Oryzias latipes: one gene and its partners. The protein of the gene in region 1 purifies or fractionates together with the protein of each later gene. This does not show direct contact. Links are inferred from orthologs where the notes say so. Each region holds a gene or a part of one and is shown on either strand. Other genes may lie near its edges. The genes, in order: serine/threonine-protein phosphatase 2B catalytic subunit gamma isoform, rcan1 and calcipressin-3.

Evidence for each region.
Region 2: the proteins of serine/threonine-protein phosphatase 2B catalytic subunit gamma isoform (region 1) and rcan1 purify together in Homo sapiens (affinity purification with mass spectrometry; 3 studies listed by BioGRID and IntAct, counting the BioPlex papers as one, with this or other methods). This does not show direct contact. The link is inferred for Oryzias latipes from reciprocal best matches to the Homo sapiens genes PPP3CC and RCAN1.
Region 3: the proteins of serine/threonine-protein phosphatase 2B catalytic subunit gamma isoform (region 1) and calcipressin-3 purify together in Homo sapiens (affinity purification with mass spectrometry; 3 studies listed by BioGRID and IntAct, counting the BioPlex papers as one, with this or other methods). This does not show direct contact. The link is inferred for Oryzias latipes from reciprocal best matches to the Homo sapiens genes PPP3CC and RCAN3.

What each region holds. Positions count from the first base shown.
Region 1 is NC_019870.2:652,039-658,693, reverse strand, and holds the start of serine/threonine-protein phosphatase 2B catalytic subunit gamma isoform, read right to left. Parts: upstream 4,081-6,655; 5' UTR 3,552-4,080; coding exon 3,500-3,551; intron 196-3,499; coding exon 1-195. UniProt on the Homo sapiens protein: Calcium-dependent, calmodulin-stimulated protein phosphatase which plays an essential role in the transduction of intracellular Ca(2+)-mediated signals. Dephosphorylates and activates transcription factor NFATC1.
Region 2 is NC_019860.2:1,242,335-1,249,136, reverse strand, and holds the start of rcan1 (calcipressin-1), read left to right. Parts: upstream 1-2,935; 5' UTR 2,936-3,118; exon of another isoform or gene 3,119-3,165; intron 3,166-3,239; 5' UTR 3,240-3,254; coding exon 3,255-3,383; intron 3,384-6,802. Other genes in the region: trichohyalin, read right to left, coding at 1-773. UniProt on the Homo sapiens protein: Inhibits calcineurin-dependent transcriptional responses by binding to the catalytic domain of calcineurin A. Could play a role during central nervous system development.
Region 3 is NC_019880.2:9,450,750-9,457,258, reverse strand, and holds the start of calcipressin-3, read right to left. Parts: upstream 4,220-6,509; 5' UTR 4,192-4,219; coding exon 3,982-4,191; intron 1-3,981.

The DNA of each region.
Region 1 (6,655 bases):
TGATGGGAGCCTCCACCTCCAGCATGCACTTCTCCTGCCGCAGGATGGCCGCCCCCTCGTTGATGATCCGCAGGGCCGTCTCCTCCTCCAGGCGCCCCTCCTTCACCAGGTGGGCCTTCAGCACCTCCAGGCTGGGCCTCCCGTCCACGTACAGGTCTTTGACGGACAGGCGGGTGCCGGGGGGGTACGGCACCGCTAAAGACAGGGAGACAGCAGCAGCTCTGATGAGGGGGGGGGGGGGGGGACGCAGCATGACACAAACCAGCAAGCAGCTTTTTGACAACGGAAAGGTTGGTGGTTCAATTTCCAACAGTCACATGTCCTTGGGCAACACACTGAAGCCCAAACTGGTCAACTGCATGCCCCCCCCCCCCCCCGTGTGGGGGGGTTATGAGGAGCCTCAGTCCCAGCAGGATCAGAGTCCCTGTACAGCGTTGAGCAGGGGTCAGCAACGAGGGGGGGCAGACAGCGGCACACGCCATTTTATTTCTCTATGGACGTCTATGGGTTTTTGCAGGTACTTCCTGTTTGGAACGCCACGGGGGTGGAGTCACAATGGTTAACACCAACTCTTCCTCTCTGTGTAATGGGGGGGGCTGTGCCCTGGAGGAAATACCAGCAGCTCCTCCTCCTCCTCCACAAACTGGCCCAACAGGAACCCAAAGCTCCCGCTGACTCAGGCTTTCAACCTGCATGAACAAACATGCCGCTCCCCCTCCCTCTGGGGCAGGACCCCCCCTCACACACTAACTACTTTGACAGTTTGAAAAACGTCTGCAGACATTTCTGACAGTCAGACTGGACTTCCTGTCAGATCCTTTTATTTTGAAAAACAGATTTTCTCTTAACCTTTCCCTGTAAAGGTTAAGAGAAACAGCCTATTTGTACATGCGTCTGTGCATGTGTGCATCCGTGCATGTGGGTCCGTGCATGTGCGCGTCCGTGCATGTGCGAACGTGCATGTGCGCGTCCGTGCATGTGCGAACGTGCATGTGCGTGTCCATGCATGTGCGTCCATGCAAGTGCGTCCGTGCATGTGCGTGTCCGTGCATGTGCGAACGAGCATGTGCGAACGAGCATGTGCGTACGTGCACGTGTGTCCAGAGACACACATGTGCATGTGACACACGGAGCAAACAGCTGTTTCCTGAGGAGCTTCTTCAACCTGCGTGACGCTGACACCTGTGGGAGGAGCCTGACATCTCTGCAGGTGTTTCGGGGGGAGGGGGGTGTCGCTAACAGACTCTGTTCCTTCACAAAACTTAATCAGGTCAGAACCAGAACCCCCCCCCCCCCCCCCCCCATGAGCAGCGAGTGATCCACTTTAGCTGAAACCAAACCAGGTCACATTCAGATCGTACCATCTCTGCAGCAGAGGAGGAGGGTTCTCCAGCCTCTGACAGGGAGGAGGAAGAACTCAGACTGAAACCAGGTGGGCAACAAGACCAGAACCAAGATGGAACCCCCCCTACCCAGAGAGTGGTAGAAAAATGAAGGTCCAGAGGAGAGGGATCAAGATGATGTTCACTGCAGTCTCCTAACGCCACGAACGCCCCCCCTTCAGAGCTTCACCCTTCAGATGACCCAAGAGTATAACAACCCCCCCCCCCCCGCAAATCTATTTCTCAAAACATGCTGGTTCTGAAAAAGTGTCTACATAAAGTGGGCGGAGCATCAAATATGCTCTTATTGATGATCAACAGAGTCACTAAGTGACTTCACACCGACGGACTCGATCCAGAACCAGGAGGAAGAACTTCTTCTGATCATCACAGGTTCTGAAAAGAACAGCTAAATCCAGCTGCTGTCCAGTCTGACCCGGTAGTGGTTCTGAAGGAGATCCAGTTCCTGCTGAGCTAGACTTTCCCCAGAGCATTGCAGCTCTTCTGCATGTCAGTCTTCTTCTGGACCCATGGGTCCAGTTTCCTTACAAAGGACCTCCACCACCTCTACTACTTTGGCAGCCCATACCATGAGCTTTTGCCGCCGTGCCCGTTAAAGTGCGAGTCAAACGTCTCCTCGTGTTCAGAAGCATCATAGTTTCTGGTCTCCAGGACTTTGTTCTGACTCGTCTTCTGAGAAGTGTCGTGTTTGGTCTTTACGCTGCCACGGACGTTCAGATGTGCTGAGGCGTGCAGACACATGCAGAGTGCGCAGACACCAGCATGCATGGATAGCCTGCAGTCAACGGCAGATGCAGCTCTGGGTTCTGTGTTTCTGCCCTGTCCCACTTGGGCCAAAAGTTTATCCAGTTTTAGCATCAACATCCCCCCCCCCCCCTTCTCCTGAGCAGATACAATGACAATGAAGGCGATTCATCCATTCATTCATCCATTCCTGGTTTGCAGTTTTCTTAGAACGTTAAAACACTCGCTGCATTATTTAGACTAATGACAAGTTTCATAATTCATGGTTTATACCCCCCCCCCAGCAGCTTCACCCTACAGGCTGTCTGACTTTCACACTGGGGGGTGTGGTGGGGTGTGGTCCTGATGTTGGGCTCGCTGCGGAGCGGCATCTCTCTCATCGCTGGCCCGATGACCCAGACCCGCTCCGGCCCGCCCGTCCTCAGGCTCAACTCCGTCACTCATGACTGATGACCATCCTGAAGCTGCCAGAACAGATCAGTCACTGATCCACAGCCACGGCCAGAGGCCAGAGGCATTCTGGGAGATCCCGCCGTCACTCAGCATCATCATCATCAGCTCCTAAACCAGACAGCCGCCAACGTGAACCAAGACCTCCAGAGAACGCCATGACAGACCACGGCGAAGTCCGAAGTCCACAACTCCCCTCGATGGAGATTTAGAACCCAAATACGACCAGAACGTGGGACGTTCTGAGGCTCAGGAGAACCGCTTGTGCATCCAAAGGTTTCCTAGAAACCCTGCAGGTCTGGGCAGGTGTGCCCCGCCTCACCTGTACAGGTTCGCTGACCCCCCCCCCCCCCCCCGCGCGGTTGTCATGGAAACAGGTGGAGCAGCAGCCACAGTCCTGCACAGGTGAGCCGGTCACGGGCGGTCCATGACCTCCTGAGGGATGCAGCTTTAATGCCGCGGCGCTCTCCCGCAGATAAGCCTCTCTAACCCGCTAAACCCATCAAACGCAGACGCCCGACCTGTCAACACCCAAACACCACGCCCTGACCCCGCGTGCGGCAGAGCTCTGGACCCGCACGTCCGGAACCGTCTGTTCAGGAACGAGCCCGGGACTCGACCTGCTCCCTAAGAAATTCGGTATATAAGAGCCGGTACCGTCTCTCCCCCTGAGCCCGCCTGTCCTGGAGCTTCCAGACGGCGACAGACATGACCCCCCCCCCCCCCCCCGGACCAAAAGGCAGCTGTACGGGGACCGGTTCGGTCAGCCAACCTGCCGGACCGACAGAGTGAACCGTCCGTCTGCGGGACTCGAGAGTCCGCTGTCCCGCACTTAGCCCGCAGTTAGCCCCCGCTGACTTCCTGCTCCCGCAGAAAAATGTCAAAAACCGACAGGAACTCACCTTTAATGGGTCTTTCTACGGTGGACAGCTTGTTCTGGTCTTTAGCCGACATCTTCCTGCTAAGCGAGCAGCGGCCCGAACTGGAACTGGGTTCCGAACCAAACTCTAAATTTCGAACTAGCTAGCAGCTAGCTGGAGCGGGCTAGCCGCGCGAGCTCACGGCGCGGCTCGCGGCAGCACAGAACACGCCCGGGCTCGGCTTCCAGGCGGACCCGGACTAAAACCCGGACCGGGACGGTACGGGGGTGTTCTCGTCCGGCAGAAGCGAGCGGTGCCCAGCGCCGTGCTACACGGGGCGGGAATCCCGAGCCGCCGTCACTCTAAACGGGCTGAATCGATGGAGAAGGAAGCGGCCCGGAGAGCGCCGACGTCAGGCTCCAGCACGCGCGCCGCGCCGCGCCTCAGATCATAGCCCGCCTTGATCCCGTTAGTATCGGGCGCCGCGCATCTGTTTCGGGCCGCTGCCTTTCGGATTCGTGTCTGTCTCTAATGGTGATCCGATGTGCCGTTCAGACCCGCTGTCGGATTACAATAATCCGCCGCAAGCGGATTTCCTACAACATGATTCTGAGCAGGTGGTTGTGGGTAATGTAGTGTTGTGGTTCGACGCTTCCGCATCTTTTCGTGAGCTGCTGCGGGGTCCAAAAAAAAACACAAGCGGCGCGAGATTTTAAGATACAACAAAACACTTTAAAAGATGTATTTTTTCTCAGTTTTGTTACACAGAAACTTTAGAAAACGTATTTTTCTGCACATATGGAGAACAGGCAGGATGGAGAAATGCATGTATAGATTATATGATATTAAATTCATGGCATTTCAGAGATTTTTCCAGGAGGACTCGCAGAAATGATCGTTGCCTTCAGGACCACCGTGACCTCTGCGTGGGGCATCAGCTCATTTTGGGGAGCAGAACTCTGCGCGACACCACCAGTTCAGACAGCGTCGCAACAGGCGCATGCGCAGCCTCCTGACCAATCAGAGAGCCGGTTCCAGTCCAGGATGTGGTTTCCGTTTCTCCGCTCCAAAGCCCGCAGAGTCACGCAAATGTGAAACGGAATCAGAGAAGAAAAGGATTTCAGAAAGGTTTTCATCAAAATCCCGAGATGAAAAGTTTTTCTAACCAAGTTCAAGAAGGATGTGGTTCAGTTCCCCTTTTAGACACGCATTTCCAAATCTATTTCAGACCAGAATATTTGTTATGCAAATAATAAGGAAATTCATATTTTAAAATCTATTTTACATGTAGAATCACAAGCAGTTTGCATTGTTTCTGTGTGTTGGATTAAAAGTCACGATGAATAAATGTTTGTTGTACTCATTTTTAATTTTTACTTTGACGTTTTAAATGGAGTCGTGGTTCTGGTTCTGATGGACTGGACCATAAAGACCCGCGGTGGGGTCCAGCTCCCTCTGGTGGTTGCTATTCGAGCTACACGAACGCAACATTTGAGTTTTCAGATGTTTGACCCTTCCGAGGTCATCCAGACTGATCAGTGTGTCACATAACATCATCAGAACAAAGTCCAGGGTTCTGAAGGCCTGGTCCAGTTCTCTGTGGTCCTCTTTATTGTCTGGAGCGTGAATGAAGGCCTCACACTGAGATCTAAACAACTGCTGCTTGTCAGCCAGAGGTCAGACACAGAGGTCAGAGGTCAGACACAGAGGTCAGGAGAGGTTCACCAACCTGGATTCTCTCTGAGTCTGTTTCCTGGAGGAAACGTCCAGCAGCTTCCAGGAAGAAGACTAAGGCCGCATTTCCACTGCATGGTTCAAGTGACCCAATTCCGATTTTTTCCTCTTATGTGGCACAGATGGGATATGACCGGTGAACGTGGAAGCAGGACAAAAGCGCATGGATTCAGATTTTCTCAGATCGGATTCAGGCCTCATTCATATGTGGAAATAAATCGGATATGAATCGGATACGTGCGTCTGCGTGTGCCATGTAAGCAGACAAATCGGATATTCCCCAGTGAATGCGAGTCGTAGGTCAGTGACGTCAACGCAGGACACCACCCACTGAGATCACATGACTTATTAAGGTGCTTTTGTGCTGATGTTGCTGTTGGAGGACAGCTGGAGCCCCATCAGCTGTTACCTTTCAGCCTCAGGCTTCGTTATTTCCGGTCGGGTCCCGGTCGGGACGCAGACGGTAACTAATCAAACGGGACACCGTTGCTCTGGAACAGCTAGAAGCCGTTTGTTTCTTTGCTTGGATCAAACTGTTAGTACAAACTCAGAGAGAGACCATAAGCCGGCCCAGCATCCCTCCTTGTTCCTCTCCCACACATCCCCTCTCCTGCCTCATCCTGGAGCGCCACAGGCAACGCCTCCTTCCGTCGCTGCGTTGCCTCCATGACAACCACAGTCACACAAAAACACAACAAAAAGGGGAGGGTTTCGCCATGCTAAACGTTTGCCGTTTGGACCAACACGCATCTTCTAAATGTGCTTTTCTTACTGTTATGATTATTATTAAGGGCCTGCTCGCTCATAATGTTTTAAATCCGTGCGGTCAGTGCTCAGGTCTGTGGAAGGCGGAAATGCTGCTATGTAGTCCTCAGAACGTCTACGTTTGATAGTCTCAGCATTGTGTAGTGTAAATGCAAATATCGGATACGGGTCATCAAAAAAATCGGATATAGTCAGAAAAAATCAAATTTGGGCATCAAGACCTGCAGTGGAAATTCAGCCCAAGTTTCAAGGGAAACTCTAAATGCAAAGAGGTCAAGCGAGGTGACACTGTGAAGGTCAAAAGTCAAGGAGGTAAGGATGAGCAGCAGGAAGACTCAGGGCCTTCAGGGAAGCCCTCTGATGTCACCTGTCCAGGTGAATTCACGTCATCCTCCAAAAATATAAAAGTGGAGAATGACTTCAATCAAGGGCGGCTCACGTTTTTCTGCCTCCATATGTGACAGATGACAGAATGAACAGATGACTCACAGGTGAGATTACCTCTGAAAATGTTTCTGACTTTTACTCTGTAAATGAATTTAATAAAAGCCTTTATTGTGAAATCCTACAAGCTGCTTGTTCTTCTTGTGACCCGATGGTGGCGCTCTACTCTCAGTTCAGAAGCTCCTCACAGCAGAGTTCATTTTCTCCATGGTCCATAACAGAGGTGCACCTCAGGGTTCCATACAAGGACTCCTG
Region 2 (6,802 bases), on another chromosome or scaffold:
ACTTCATAGGCCTTCACTGCCATCTCCTTAAGTTCAACCCCTCCTCTGGACTCATGTGCTTGCTCAGAACCCGCCACTAACCGCTGCGGCTCTGGATTTCCAGGTGTCACTTCTGGAAGTTCTAACCTTGAATTAGCGGCTTCTGGAACGTTCTCCTGGACAGCTTCGTCCTGCATCGCTCTGCAGGTTGTGGTGCTTCCCTGACAGTTCTCTGCCGGTTCCTGGTCGACTGGAGTCTCCCAGGTGACGTGTGGGGTTTTGGTGAGGTTCACAGCTGCAAACAGATGTTTATCCTCTGAGGTGTTTCCTTCAAACCCTGCAGTGTCGTCCTGAAGGTGATCAGATATCCCTGCAGGCCTGTCTTCAGAGGAACAGTTACTTTCTTCTTCATTCAGTTTTTTCTCCTCAAACTCCACCCTTTGTGGTGCTTCGTGGTCACCACTGATTTGGAGGTCTACTCCATCAGCCTCGACTGATACAAAAAGGTCAGGACATTCTGTCACTTCCACAACCCTCTCCTCCTCCTCAGCTGTTTCCATCTCCGTCTTTCTTCTTACGTTTGACAGCAGGGACATTTCTATACCGTTCTGGTCTTCAGCTCCACCCTCAGCTTCGCCCATCATCAGGACGTCCTCACCCACCTCCTCGGCCAGCTCCACCTCCTCATCCTCCACGTCCTCCTGGGCGTCCAGGTCTGAGCAGATGGACAGCGGGCTGTGTTCGAGCGCTCTGTTTGACACGTCTGGGTTTGTGGTGGAGCTGGACTGAGCCATGAGGGCAGAGGGAGGAAGCCAAATACCAGCAGGGAACCAGAGTCCAGGATGGCAGGTTTAGGGAATCAGGCCGGTGGTCCACACAAGGTTTAAGGAAGCATAGTGAAAAGAATCCAAGGTGTGAATAAATAGAAATCAAAGCAAAAAAAAGTTTAAAAATCTGGAGGGGAAATGCAGTTTTTCATGAGCAGAAAGTACTAAAGGAGAAAAAAAGTCAATGTTCCACTCTTTGGGATGTCTCAAATGCTACGAAAAGCAAACTACGATGTGAAAATCATTAAAAATAAGTCAAAAATAAGAATTGTCCGGTTATTTCCGTGAAGGCATCACGCCGACTTTCCTCCTCTCTGGCTCCTTCTCTCCCTCCTGAGGGGATTAGGTGACGGCTGATCCCCACATGACCAGAGGCTTAAACCCCTCTGCCGCCCTGGAATGAACACCGCCTTCACTCTCACTTCACTGAGGAAAACACCGGCAGGAGTTCAGGACCATCTGGCCCGGTTCCAACCACCAGGAAGGAGCAGCTCTACCGATGCGTCACGCCATGAGCCCCTTTTTCTGTTAAACCTTATCGAGATTTGATCACTCCTTTAATGAACAACATGAACCATTGACTATATGAGAACTGGACTGAGCGACCCCTCCCCCGTCACTTTCTAGTACCCATAAAAATCCTATAGACTTCAATAGAGATCTAGACACCTCATTCCTGGAGGGAAAAGGAATTTTTAACATAGTGAACGACACCCTCCCCCCCCAACAGATGATGACATCACAGCAGGATAAAAATCTTTTAAAAAAATGAATCGAGCCAAAAAATATTGTTAAATCCAGTAAAGATGGGAGGACGGCTGCAGGACCTACGGCTTGGTGGGCGAAATGTAGAATTTGGCCATTTTCACATTTTGCTAAAATATAGGCTGGTTTTTCGCAGAGACTTCTGGGAAATTTCAATTGTGAAATTGTAGATTCGGACAGCTCTACAAAATGGCGAACGCAGCATATGGTCCACTAAGTAGTGAGTAGTGGAGGAATTCCCCATCTGCAATGATAATCATTTACCTTTGACCATGGTAAGAGCCAGCCATCTTGAATTTTCCCCTAAAAAAATGTACATGTAGTACAGTCGCCTTTTAACTTGCCAGGAAAAAATGCTGGTTTTCGAAGTTTCTATAGTGGTTTCTGAATTGACACCAGCAGTCTTTTGTTAATGTTATTCTTCCTTTGTAACCTCAGGAAATGCAGTCTCTGCTGGGCCTTTTTCAGCAGCTCACTGGTGTTTGTACTGCAGGTCAGGCTCTCCTCAACACAGTCCTCGCTGATGAAGAGTTGCAGTATGTCCGTTTTCTTCCTCCTGTGGTCTATTATCATTTCTTTGGTCTTTGACGTGTTCAGGAGGAGGTTGTTGGTTGACGTTCCACCTCATCTCTGGAGGCAGATTCATTCCCGATAAAAAACCTCAGTTGCCAAGGAAATCCCAAAGTTTATTTTTGCTGATTCTTCTGAAAAATTACATAGACACGCTTGTTACCTCTGGGCCAATAAAAAAATCAAATGGTTGCTATGGAGATGAAACAAATGAAAATTCCACTACTATGAGAAAAAAGTAGATTAGTAAAAGTAAATCATGAGGTGTTTGGTTGATGGACTTAAACATTTGGAAAGTGACCAATCAGTGTCTTGTTGTGACAAAAAAAGCCACTTTTTCTATTGATATTTGTATTTTTTCCCTTTTTTCTCCACTGAAGCTTAGTGTTTTGATTACATAGTTCAGGTTTTTGGCTTTACAGTGGTTATGTGAGGTTTAGCAGCTACCTAAGATTCTTTCCATGATGCCCTTGTGCTTTAACACCTTAAAAAGTGTCATAGAGAAAATGCTAACCTGGTTATAGACCTTTGAGTAAAAAATATGTTTGGAATTAAATGTTTACAAGTTGTTGCGTAGATTTGTGAACAGATGAGATCTGCCTTAAGAATACACACCTTTTTACATAGATTTCCCTTTAAACATACTTTTATATGTAAATCAGAAAAAATCGTTTTTAATCTTAAAAAACAACAACATTTCTTTGCTAAAACACAGCACTGCAGTTCATACTCCAGATCGACAGGTGGCGATATAGCCCCGCCCCGTTTGCCAATTGAAAGTCAAGAAGGAGCAGAACCGGAAGTTTATAACCGGAGTCCTCCATGGTGGATGAAAACAGGTTAACGCCGGTTTAAATTAATCCGTCACAGACCAGCTAGCTTGCAGCAAATCCAGCTGACCTCCAGGCAGCTGCACGCGCTCCAACACAGACGGAAGAGGAGGGGCTGGTTCGGCCCCGCCGTCTGTTCTCGCGCAGGTTCGTTTAGACTGACTCGGTTCGGATTCTTCCGCGCCTCCTCGCGGGTGAGTTCTGCACCCACGCGAAGCAGGTTCGTCGGTGCGCGCGCCGTGACTCTCGGGGTCTTCCGTGTTCTCAGGTCCAGAGCGCCGGAATGCAGCAGGCGAAGGTGGCAGACGACAAGAAGGAGGAGGCCGCGGTGGAAGTCCGCTTCACCGACCTGCCGGACGCCCTGATCGCCTGTAAAGTCCCGCCGGACCTGTTCGCCTACGGAGGGGTGAAGGTAAGCGCCGCGAGGCGGGGTTTTTAGCCGGTTCTGACCGCGCTGGCGCCGGCCTGACCCGGGAGAAACAAAGCCGGGAGGTTCAGTTCAGCGGGTTCCCCGCTAGATAGAGCCATTCCGCCGAGATGCATTCATCCTTACGAGACATGCAAATATAGCCCACAATGCATTGCGTTTGAACACAAATGTATTTTTTTTAATTTAACCATGAATGTTTTTATCATCAGAACACAGTGGGTTTATAAATTGTTGCAGTAAAATGCCCATATTGATGAGGGCTGTGTCTGAATTCCCTCCTCCCTCACTAGTAAAACCCTCTACAGTGCAGGACTATGTGTGCTCTAGATTTTAAAACAATTCGGATGGACTACCGATGATATCTTTATAGTTTTTAATGGCAAATATGACAGCACTGTTTTCACAAAGTTAAACCTCTCAACCTTTATAATGTGTTTGGGTCCAAATTGACCTGTTTTCAAACTGTGTAAAGGGGTCAATTTTGACCCAAACACAATAAATAAAAGCAATAACGAAGACTGTTTATTGTGTTCTGATGATTAAAAAAAATAAATTAAAGTATTTTTCTTTACTTGGAAAAAAGGTATTTCATATTTGCCCATCTAGTGGGAATCAAAGCTTTTAGCTATGTTCACTTCAGGCCTGGTAACACATGTTCAAGTGACTTTCAATGAAATCTCGATGTAAATTTGTGTTTCCAGCTTCCGTGTTCGATACACCTGCGTTCACGCGTTGCTACACAAAGTTCTGTCGGTTTGTGGACTCTACCCACAAAACGTGCCCTCTTTATTTTTTGTTTGATTTCCCGCTGTAAATTCTTGCAGTGGTGTGAAAAACCAAACCGAGCAGATTATTTCTGACTGTTCACACTGCATACGTTGTCTTTTCCTGTGTTTACGTGATCAGACTGACGTTCTGACTCCGCCTTTCTGAAACAGTAGGAAAGGGAAGGTAGACGTGCAGATCTTTGGTTTTTCCGTCCGTCCCGCCTGCTTTGATCCATGATGCTTACCAACAGAAAAACGTATTCAGGTGTTGCTTACCAACAGAAAAACGTATTCAGGTGTTACGCACTGCCGTCCACCTACCTCTGCTTTTCAGTGTTTGTTTTTGCCGAATGTCGTTCATTTCCGTTTTTCAGAACGTGATGGAAAAGTCGTATTTCCAAAATAAATGTAGTTTTAAAGCAAAAAAAAAAAAAAACGTGATTTAGCTATAAATGTCTTGTTTTGCTCAAACATCATATTTATTTGATTTTAGCTTTTTGTAACGTTCGTCTTTAGCCGCTCCTCTTCATTCATGAAGCTCCTTTTTGGTCTGTAATAATTACATTGAGTAAACAAAACATTGGAAAAAGGAGCTGAAGCATCATACAGACTGTTATGGAACACTTTAGTTGTGCTGCAAAGCTTTCCATCACTGTTCCTTCATTTTTATCTTATTTTCAAAATAAAGGTGCATCTTTTATTAGATCTGGAGGCTGACGTTTGGTTTAGCCATAACAGTACAGCTTGTTTTTGTAACTTTATTTATGGCATCACATTAAAAATTGGAAAATCAAATAAAAAGAAATGGGAGCTTTACCGGTTTTTGATGACTGGTGCAGGCCTGAACTCACTGATGGGGGTGTTTTTATTTGGTTGAATGGAAAAAGCGGAGTGACTCGAGGACACCGCGTGGTTTAGGTGTTGACTGGCGGGTGAAGCGGATCGTGCCTGCAGGGCTGTAGACCAGCATTAAGAAAATCCACGGCACAACTTTGTTTTTTTGTCTTTTTATTTGTTGTTCGTCTTTAAAGCTGCTCCTTTTCCACGAGGGGTTGGTATCAGCAGGACCATGGGATTCTGCTGTGAGAGGATCGCTTTAGCATTGAGTAGACTTACTTGGCCATGGATCCTGCCTCTGCCTTGTCTTGCACCCCCAGCCATCCCCCAACTCCATCTGGATGAAGCTCATCTGCTGGACTATTAAAACATGTAGTGTTAGCGTTAGATAAACTCATTCTTCTCTGAGAGTTCTGGTACATCGCCTGTCCTTTATTTTACAAATCCCTTTTTTTTTCCCAGGAGTTTTTTCTTACCGGAAGGATGGTCTAAGCAACTGTTTTTCAACCTTTTCTGAGCCACGGCACACTTTAACCTTGACAAAAGTCCTGCGGCACACCAGCATCCAAAAAGTTTTTTTTTTAAATTGGAGAAACTCAAAGTCTTTATTGATCTACAGCCCCTCCACAATCTCACATGCATTTTTGTGATAATTATTGTGGCAGAAAAAGCTGGAAGCTGCAGCTGTTTTTCTAAAAGATGTAATAAAAGTTAAGTTAGAAGATTTAAAAACTGTTGGATGTGCGTTCGTTGTGGTGTCAAGACGTTTAACAACAAAGGTTCATTGTGCGCTGAGATGCTGTCACTTTAACCCAATGCATCATGGGAGATGTAGTGCAAACAGCTGCAAAAGGGCAGAAAGGCTAATGTCTCTGAGCTTCTTTGTTTTGTTCACTTTTTACACAGTCAGATACCGGATTCTGTGGAAAGCTACACCGCTAAAGACGAGCGTTAGCTGGTATTTTTGTTAGAACTGAGCGACTTTACGAGCCAAATTGGATCAAGGAAGCGAGGACTTTAATCACTTCTGATTGGTCAGACTGATGACGTGTGATTCAGCCTTCAAGAATGATTGGTGGAGACAGTTAAAGGGGCGGGACTTTTCCTAAAACAGCTGAAGCTACAGCTAAATCGCAGTACCGTGATTCTTATCTTTCTTTAATAGAATCAAATAAACACAAAGAAAAAAGTATTTTAAGACCTTTCATATTCCTAACTACTCAGTGTTTTATCAGGGCCTGTTTGGATGAACACAGAGCTGATTTCCTGGAGATGGAAAATGTTTTTAGATCAGTTAATGAGGGCAATTTCCCACAGCACAATAATGTGTAGCAGCACACTGGTTGACAGGGGCAGTAGCGAATATACTTAAAATCCCTCATAATTCTGCTTTTTAGAGCAATGATTGCATTGCCTGACTGGTATTGTCCACCATACTCTACTATATTTATAAAGATTGTGGATCAGGAATCTTGATTGTCACAAAAAAATCGTCCGCGTTTTTTCTGAAACAAATTGCGACAATCCCAGAATTTAGAGATTCATTGCAGCCCCATTGACTGGCTTCTATTAATCATCTCGTGTTACCTGAGAGTCACCTAAATGCTGACAGATACCCTCCAGAATCGCTTCAAAGCTCGTTTCTGCCCTTCAAGCCAGATCTCAGGCAAAGCGTTAGCATTATGGGTTAATGCTAACTCTTTGGAAGAGACGGACATTTACTGGAGTTTGTGGTCAGTTACCACCCAGCGACAGTAGATCCCTTCAAACTCTGAAGCAAGTGAATGAAGACCTCCT
Region 3 (6,509 bases), on another chromosome or scaffold:
GTTCATGTACATTTTTAGGTCAATTATAAAGCCAACGACCTCTTAAATTGGAGTTATAATAAAATCAGGTGATGTGAGTGCGGCTGAACTTTTTTTTTTTTTAAATAACCATAAAAACATTTAATCCCTCTTAGAAGACCCACTCTGATGAAAATTGTGTTTTTTAATGTGTTCTTGTGGATTTTCTCATAAAGGTGGATAAATATAAAGTAAATTAAGCTTAAAATTGCATTTCTGTTCAATTTTTTATTAAAATCGTTGTGAATCAGGAGCAGATGGAAAAAAACAACAACTTTTTTTTGTGTGAAATTTTTCTGGTGAGGCCACAAGCTCCCTGCTCTGTACTTTTAGCACGGGGAGAGGAAGAGGGGTGTGGTTGCTCTGCCACAATGGTCCCATCCAAAAAACATTCCTAATGAACTCCTGCCGCTCCACAGAAACTATGTCCCAGAAAACGATACAGGTTTTTGGATTTCGGCCAAAAATGGCACAGCTTTAATTAAAAGACTACTGGGAATGCTTTAAAAAGAGTTTAAAAGATGATCAGAGTGGGTCTTTACTACCTCATAAGTTACTTCCAATTGTTTAAAATTCATTTAAGTCCTATAGCATTTTTCCCCATTGTTTTGGCTCTCAGATGGATGCATTTTCCTGTTTTTTGTTTTCACAATGGACTAAATTTTGTGATTTTAAAAAATATATATATATACAAGTAACATTACATTTATTGCCAAACGCTTCCAGCCAAATTTGTGGAAACACTGTGGGGACTGTCTTTTTATTTGTCCTTGTAAATTATGTTTATGGTGTGGTATGTATAAGTAATGTTTTTATTTTTCATCTTATTCTTATTTATTTTAATTAATGTATTTTTTATTAACTATTGCAATTTTTCATATACTGCTTCTTAACTTGTGTATACTTGACACTGTGCTTTTTTAATGTAGTGGGTCTGTGTACTCCTTTTTATTGATTGGACTATGAGTCTAAAATAAATTCTATCTATCTATCTATCTATCTATCTATCTATCTATCTATCTATCTATCTATCTATCTATCTATCTATCTATCTATCTATCTATCTATCTATCTATCTATCTATCTATCTATCTATCTATCTATCTATCTATCTATCTATTTGGAGTTTTGTAAATCCCTTTTTTTTCAGTGTTATTTGTACCTAAAAGAAGGTGCTTTTTAATTCATGGAACACTAAAAGGTCAGAGTTGAATAATCCTGAGCTGTTATTTGTTCCACTATGCTCACTGGCTAAACACTAACTTTGTTTGCCCTTCGTTTGATACTGAGCAGGTTGTGCAGCGTCAGACCACCTGAGCCTGACTGTTGAAAACAGCTGCTTTGAGCAGCTGGAAATGACGCAGATTAGATGAGGAACTGCGACAGTGAATTCCTATAAAAACGTAAAGTCTACATGCAATCAAAAGTTTAAAAATAAAAGACTGATAAATTAAAATGAGTCAGTATTACCAACTTTCAATCTTTACCATTAGAGATAAGGAGCTGGACAAAACTTTTTTTTTCCCCACAACAAAAAAATAAAATGCGATGTTGCTACGCTTGCAGCTGCTTTATTGTATTGATGGTTGGTTAAGAAAAACTCAGTCAGACAGCAGCAGGACCCCCAATGAAAGCGTTACTCAGAGCTGATTAGGCTTCATACACACTATGTGGAACAAATTATAATGGCTTCTCTGACCTTTGTCTCTGCAAGCAGAGAAACCACTTTGACTCCCAACCCCTCCCCTCTTTGGAAACATGTTTTGTATGGATGATACAGAATCCCACAATGATTCGTATGTGAGGAGCTGACTGCACGACTACTAAGGACAGGGACATAATAATAAAAAGTGAAAACATTATTAACCAAACATCCAAAATTATCCCGAAAATCTGTTTTTGTTTTTCCAAAAATGAAAATAAACTTACAAATCCATCCATTTTCTAAATCCTCTATATCCCTTGTGGAGTCATGGGGTAGCCTGAGCCTGTTGGTGAAAAGGCGGGGTACACCCTGGATAGTCAGAATGGATGTATTCATTCTCATACATCCACTTGTACACGACTAGATCCATACACATCTTTGCTTTCCTCATCCGAACTGGCATTTGGCTCAAAACTGTATATTGCTTGCCAATTTTGTTGCACCACCAATGTTAGAATGGGGGTGTAAGCTAGTAGGAAGTCTGCTGTAATTGAGTCCTACAAAGACAGTTTTTTTTTATTTTGGCTAAAAATAGCATAACCATAATAAAAAAAGATCAACTGGAACACACTTAAAATTAATCAATAGATGATCGGAGTGGGACTTGAAGCACTGGACTGGAATAATGTTGCTCCTATTCAGCCGGCTAAATGAGCTGTAATTTATTAGTAGATTGTATCATTAAGTAACTAATAATGATTATGTTAATTTCTGTTATCAGGCTAAAGCTAAGCTTCCAGAAGAAGTAATGAAAACTTTAAACCATGTCTCCATTTTCGCTTGAGGCAAGCAAAGTGAAAAGAATGTTGCAGATAAAAGTGTGCCACTAGGTTTCACTGATGCTTCACTTATGCAAGAAGAAGCTAAAGGATTTTGCAGTGTGCTAAAAGCTTCTCATACACGTAAGGGCTCTGGTCTCCCTCCCTCTCTCTCTGCACATTTGTCCATTCGCCTCTCAGTGGAGAAGAATGAAAGCAGAAAAAAGCTCATCCTCCAGCAGCCAAGCCTTTGAAACCAGACACAGAAAGTAATGTCAGTGTTTCGAGCATGCCAAGAGCCCAAAGACACTAAAAAGTAGGATGCGATGTCCCTGTTCTTCGGTAAGGATTCGGAAAAAAAATAAAAAAAATAATGTTGGGGGGGGGCAAATGTGTCAGATTCTCGATGGACGAGAAAGTAAACATAAAAAGAAAAAAATCTGAAGCACTTTGCTTTTAATCTCAGACTTTATACTTTCCTCCTGCAATCACATTTGGATCAAAGCATTAAATGTCGACATTCCTATTTTTGGCACAGCTTGTTTCAGAGAAACACTGGGAATGATTCATTGACGTGTTCAAACTTAAGATTGTGTGGGAGCCATTTCCACTTAAAAGCCGAAGCGTGAATGGTAATGAAGTTAGGAGGCAAAAACCGAGTGGAGGGGAGGGGGTGGACTCATCCGCTCACAGCAACGGGTGTACAACATCCAAAAGTGGGGCTGATTCATTTCAAGGGGATTTTGTTCATGCTCCATATTTAGCCTCTGCAGTTCAGCACTTCCATACATAGAAAAGATCAATCGAGAAGCAAAACAGAGGGTGAGGAGACTGAAAAAGGAAGTCTGTAAAAAGAGGCAAAGTCTCAGAGAAAAAGAAGGGGATGTAAAGATGCCAGCTGGAAAGACCACAGGAGACTATAAGTAGATTAAAAGGAAAAATGATAACTATTTTTCATCTTCCTCCAGCAAACAATATTCAATGATCCAAAGCATTTGTACATAACCAGCTGTGATGAATTCTCAACACACCCTTTAGGGGTTTTAGTGCAGAATGTGCACTCATGGGCTCCAATCTGTTACTCTCTCCCCCCGTCTGCAACATATATGCACTGTTCCAAGAGGCTTGGCAAACGCGATAAGCAATATACTGACTGGATGATATGCATAGACACACGATCCGAAGCTTGTGATTCTGTGCAAGTCATGCTGTAATCTGCTGACCTGCATTCATGTTCTCTGGTAAACAGACAACAGCTGCGTCGGGTGCGAATGCGTGAGGGTTTTAGCTGCGGAGCGATCAGCATCGCAGCTTGAACTGTGGCTGAACGTCCACGCGCAGGAGCTGGAGCTGCGGATGATATCTCGCCTCCTGTTGCTATGATCTGATTCTTGGATGGTCTGGCACATGCACCAAGATGACTCAGAAGTGATGCGTTGACTCAGGCAAACACACATGCCGCAAACATATGGACAAGGAAGGGAGTTTGCAGCATCTCACCCTGTGCGTTTCCTGGCTGAATACGGCCTCGTGGACACTGCATGCAAAGAGTGCAGAGGGAAGGTCACTCAGGTCCATCATCTCCTCTGCCGTGCCATCCTGATCGCTCTCCCCAAACACCATGTCTTCTTCCTCATCCTCATCCTCTTCAGGATCACTACTGTAGGCTCCTGAGCCACTGCTCCACCCTTTAGAAGTGTCACGCAGCATCCTTGATCTTTTAAACAGGTGGGGACCACAGAGAACTAAAGATGGAAGCATCAAGAGATTAGAATTGAAGTGGAAAGTGAGGAAGATGTACTGATCAACACAATCATGCAAATAAAAGTTTCTTAATGCAAGTAAATGCATCAAATCACGGAGAAGAAGAATCTAGAAAACCTTCAAAACAAAGAATACAGGTACTTTTACTCCTTTTTTGCGCAATCTCATTTTTCTTGCTTTTTACAAAATGTTCCTTTACAAAAGCTGTTATTTTCCTCATTTAGGGAAATAGGACTTTATGGTTTCATATTTAAGCTACAAAAATGTGAATATTTAAGTAAAGACATCAACTATTTTAAACTCCCGGATGTCCTGATACAATTCTGGGTCAAGGCTACTGTATGTGTGTGTATGTATAAATATATGCACACACACACACAAACACATACTTTTCTTATTTACCATCTGTCAAAAGGCTTTTATCTTTTTATCTGCAATATACAATTTACTTACTTAATGACTTGATGCACAGAGCGCATTTGTTTATATTTTGCACACATTATTTTTGCACATAATAGATATTTTTTATAGTATTATATTGTAATATTGATATGTTTTTGTACTAATATGGTGTCTGCTTTTAATCGCATTGCACATGTGGACAGTGACAATAAAGGGATTTCATATTTTATGTTAATACATATTTAGCATGTTTTTAAAGATATGAATGGAACTTTTAGCAATTATTTTACAGACTTTGTACTTCTTTCTTTTTTGTTTTACGATCACCAGAGGTTAAAAAGAAGTTCAAATTCTATATTGCAAATTTTCTAAGTTTCTAACAAAATAAATAAATAATCAAATCTAAATAAATCATAAACATATATGCATTCAATTTGACATACTCACATAACAATAATTCAAATTATTGTTACTGCTTTAGCAAAACAATGTAAATATAAAATTTGACCCACATACTTTGAGATTAAAGGCACTTTGGCATCCTTAGCAATTTTATACAAATGTTAGAGGGCCATCTAGCGTTAGGAGCGACGAAGTGCCCCATTGTGTTTGAAAAATCAAGCGAATTAAAGTAACAAATAAGTCTATGTTTGATTCACTATAGTATTAAGAGCACATAAAAGAAAGAATGAGCAATAAAAAGGGACAAAACAACTAAATATCCGCTGTGAAATGACAAGAAAAAATCTTGACGGATGACAGGTATCTTCATTTAGCTGCCGTAAGTAACCTATTACGTATTGCCTTTCCAATATCGCGGCCAGAACTGGAGCAAATGTCTAATAAAACATTTTCCTCCACGTCAGAAAAGGGTTTCATTGCTACAGAAAATATAAATGCAGGAGTAGAGTGTGAAAATCATAGTGTAAATCACAGTTACATCCGATGCCACTGTGTAATAATTTCCCTTATGACATGCAAATGTGTCTCCAACACTCACCTCACTATGTCAGCGTCCGAAAAAACCCCCATTGAGGACTAACAAAAATATAAATATTTATACATATATACATATATTATTATTTTTTTGGAGAGAGAAAAAAAACCTTTTTGTCTTTACATATTTATTTTTATTTTATTTTTTGCGGACAAATGCTTGGGTGTTTGTTTTCTCCGGATTATCTAACGCAGCCTGCTCCAGCGTCAGGACAACGCAGGTGAGACCAATCAGAAGCCGCCAGTAGCTTCGAAGCGACCAATCAGATTGCAGCAAGTGGGCGGATGCTGGGCCTCAACATGGGTGGCGATCAAGCAGCAAAGTGGCACACAGCGCTGAGAGGCAAAGAGGCTTATTATTTGGCAGGAACGTCTTAGTGAGTCACGAAAGTTAACGTGCGAGTCCCGCCGGTGTTTCCGTTCACTGCGCAACAATTATTAATCTAATTTGAACAAATGTGTCACGAACCCGGATGCACCTGTTGCGCTTCAATACTTCCATAACCACAGCGGAGAAAACTCTGCACCCAATTTAACTACTTTTAGGTGCAATCTGGAAATGTTTCCATATGGTTTTACGTAAATTTAAAATGGAATGCTTATTAGATTTTTAAAAAATTACACTGATTTCTAGTTTTGTGTCTTCTTTACTAAAAAATAAAATGGGGAAAAAAATCAACTGACAGTTTAAGATAAAGTTCTTCACATAGATCATGGGAAAAGATTTTAAATACATGTAAAAAAAAAAAAACCTTTAAATGTGTTATTTTTATTTACGCTAATTTAGAAGGTTTAACTCAAATCTCCAATGACTGGAGGAAAAATAGGTTGCATTATATGACATGAAAAATCAGTTTATTTATTTT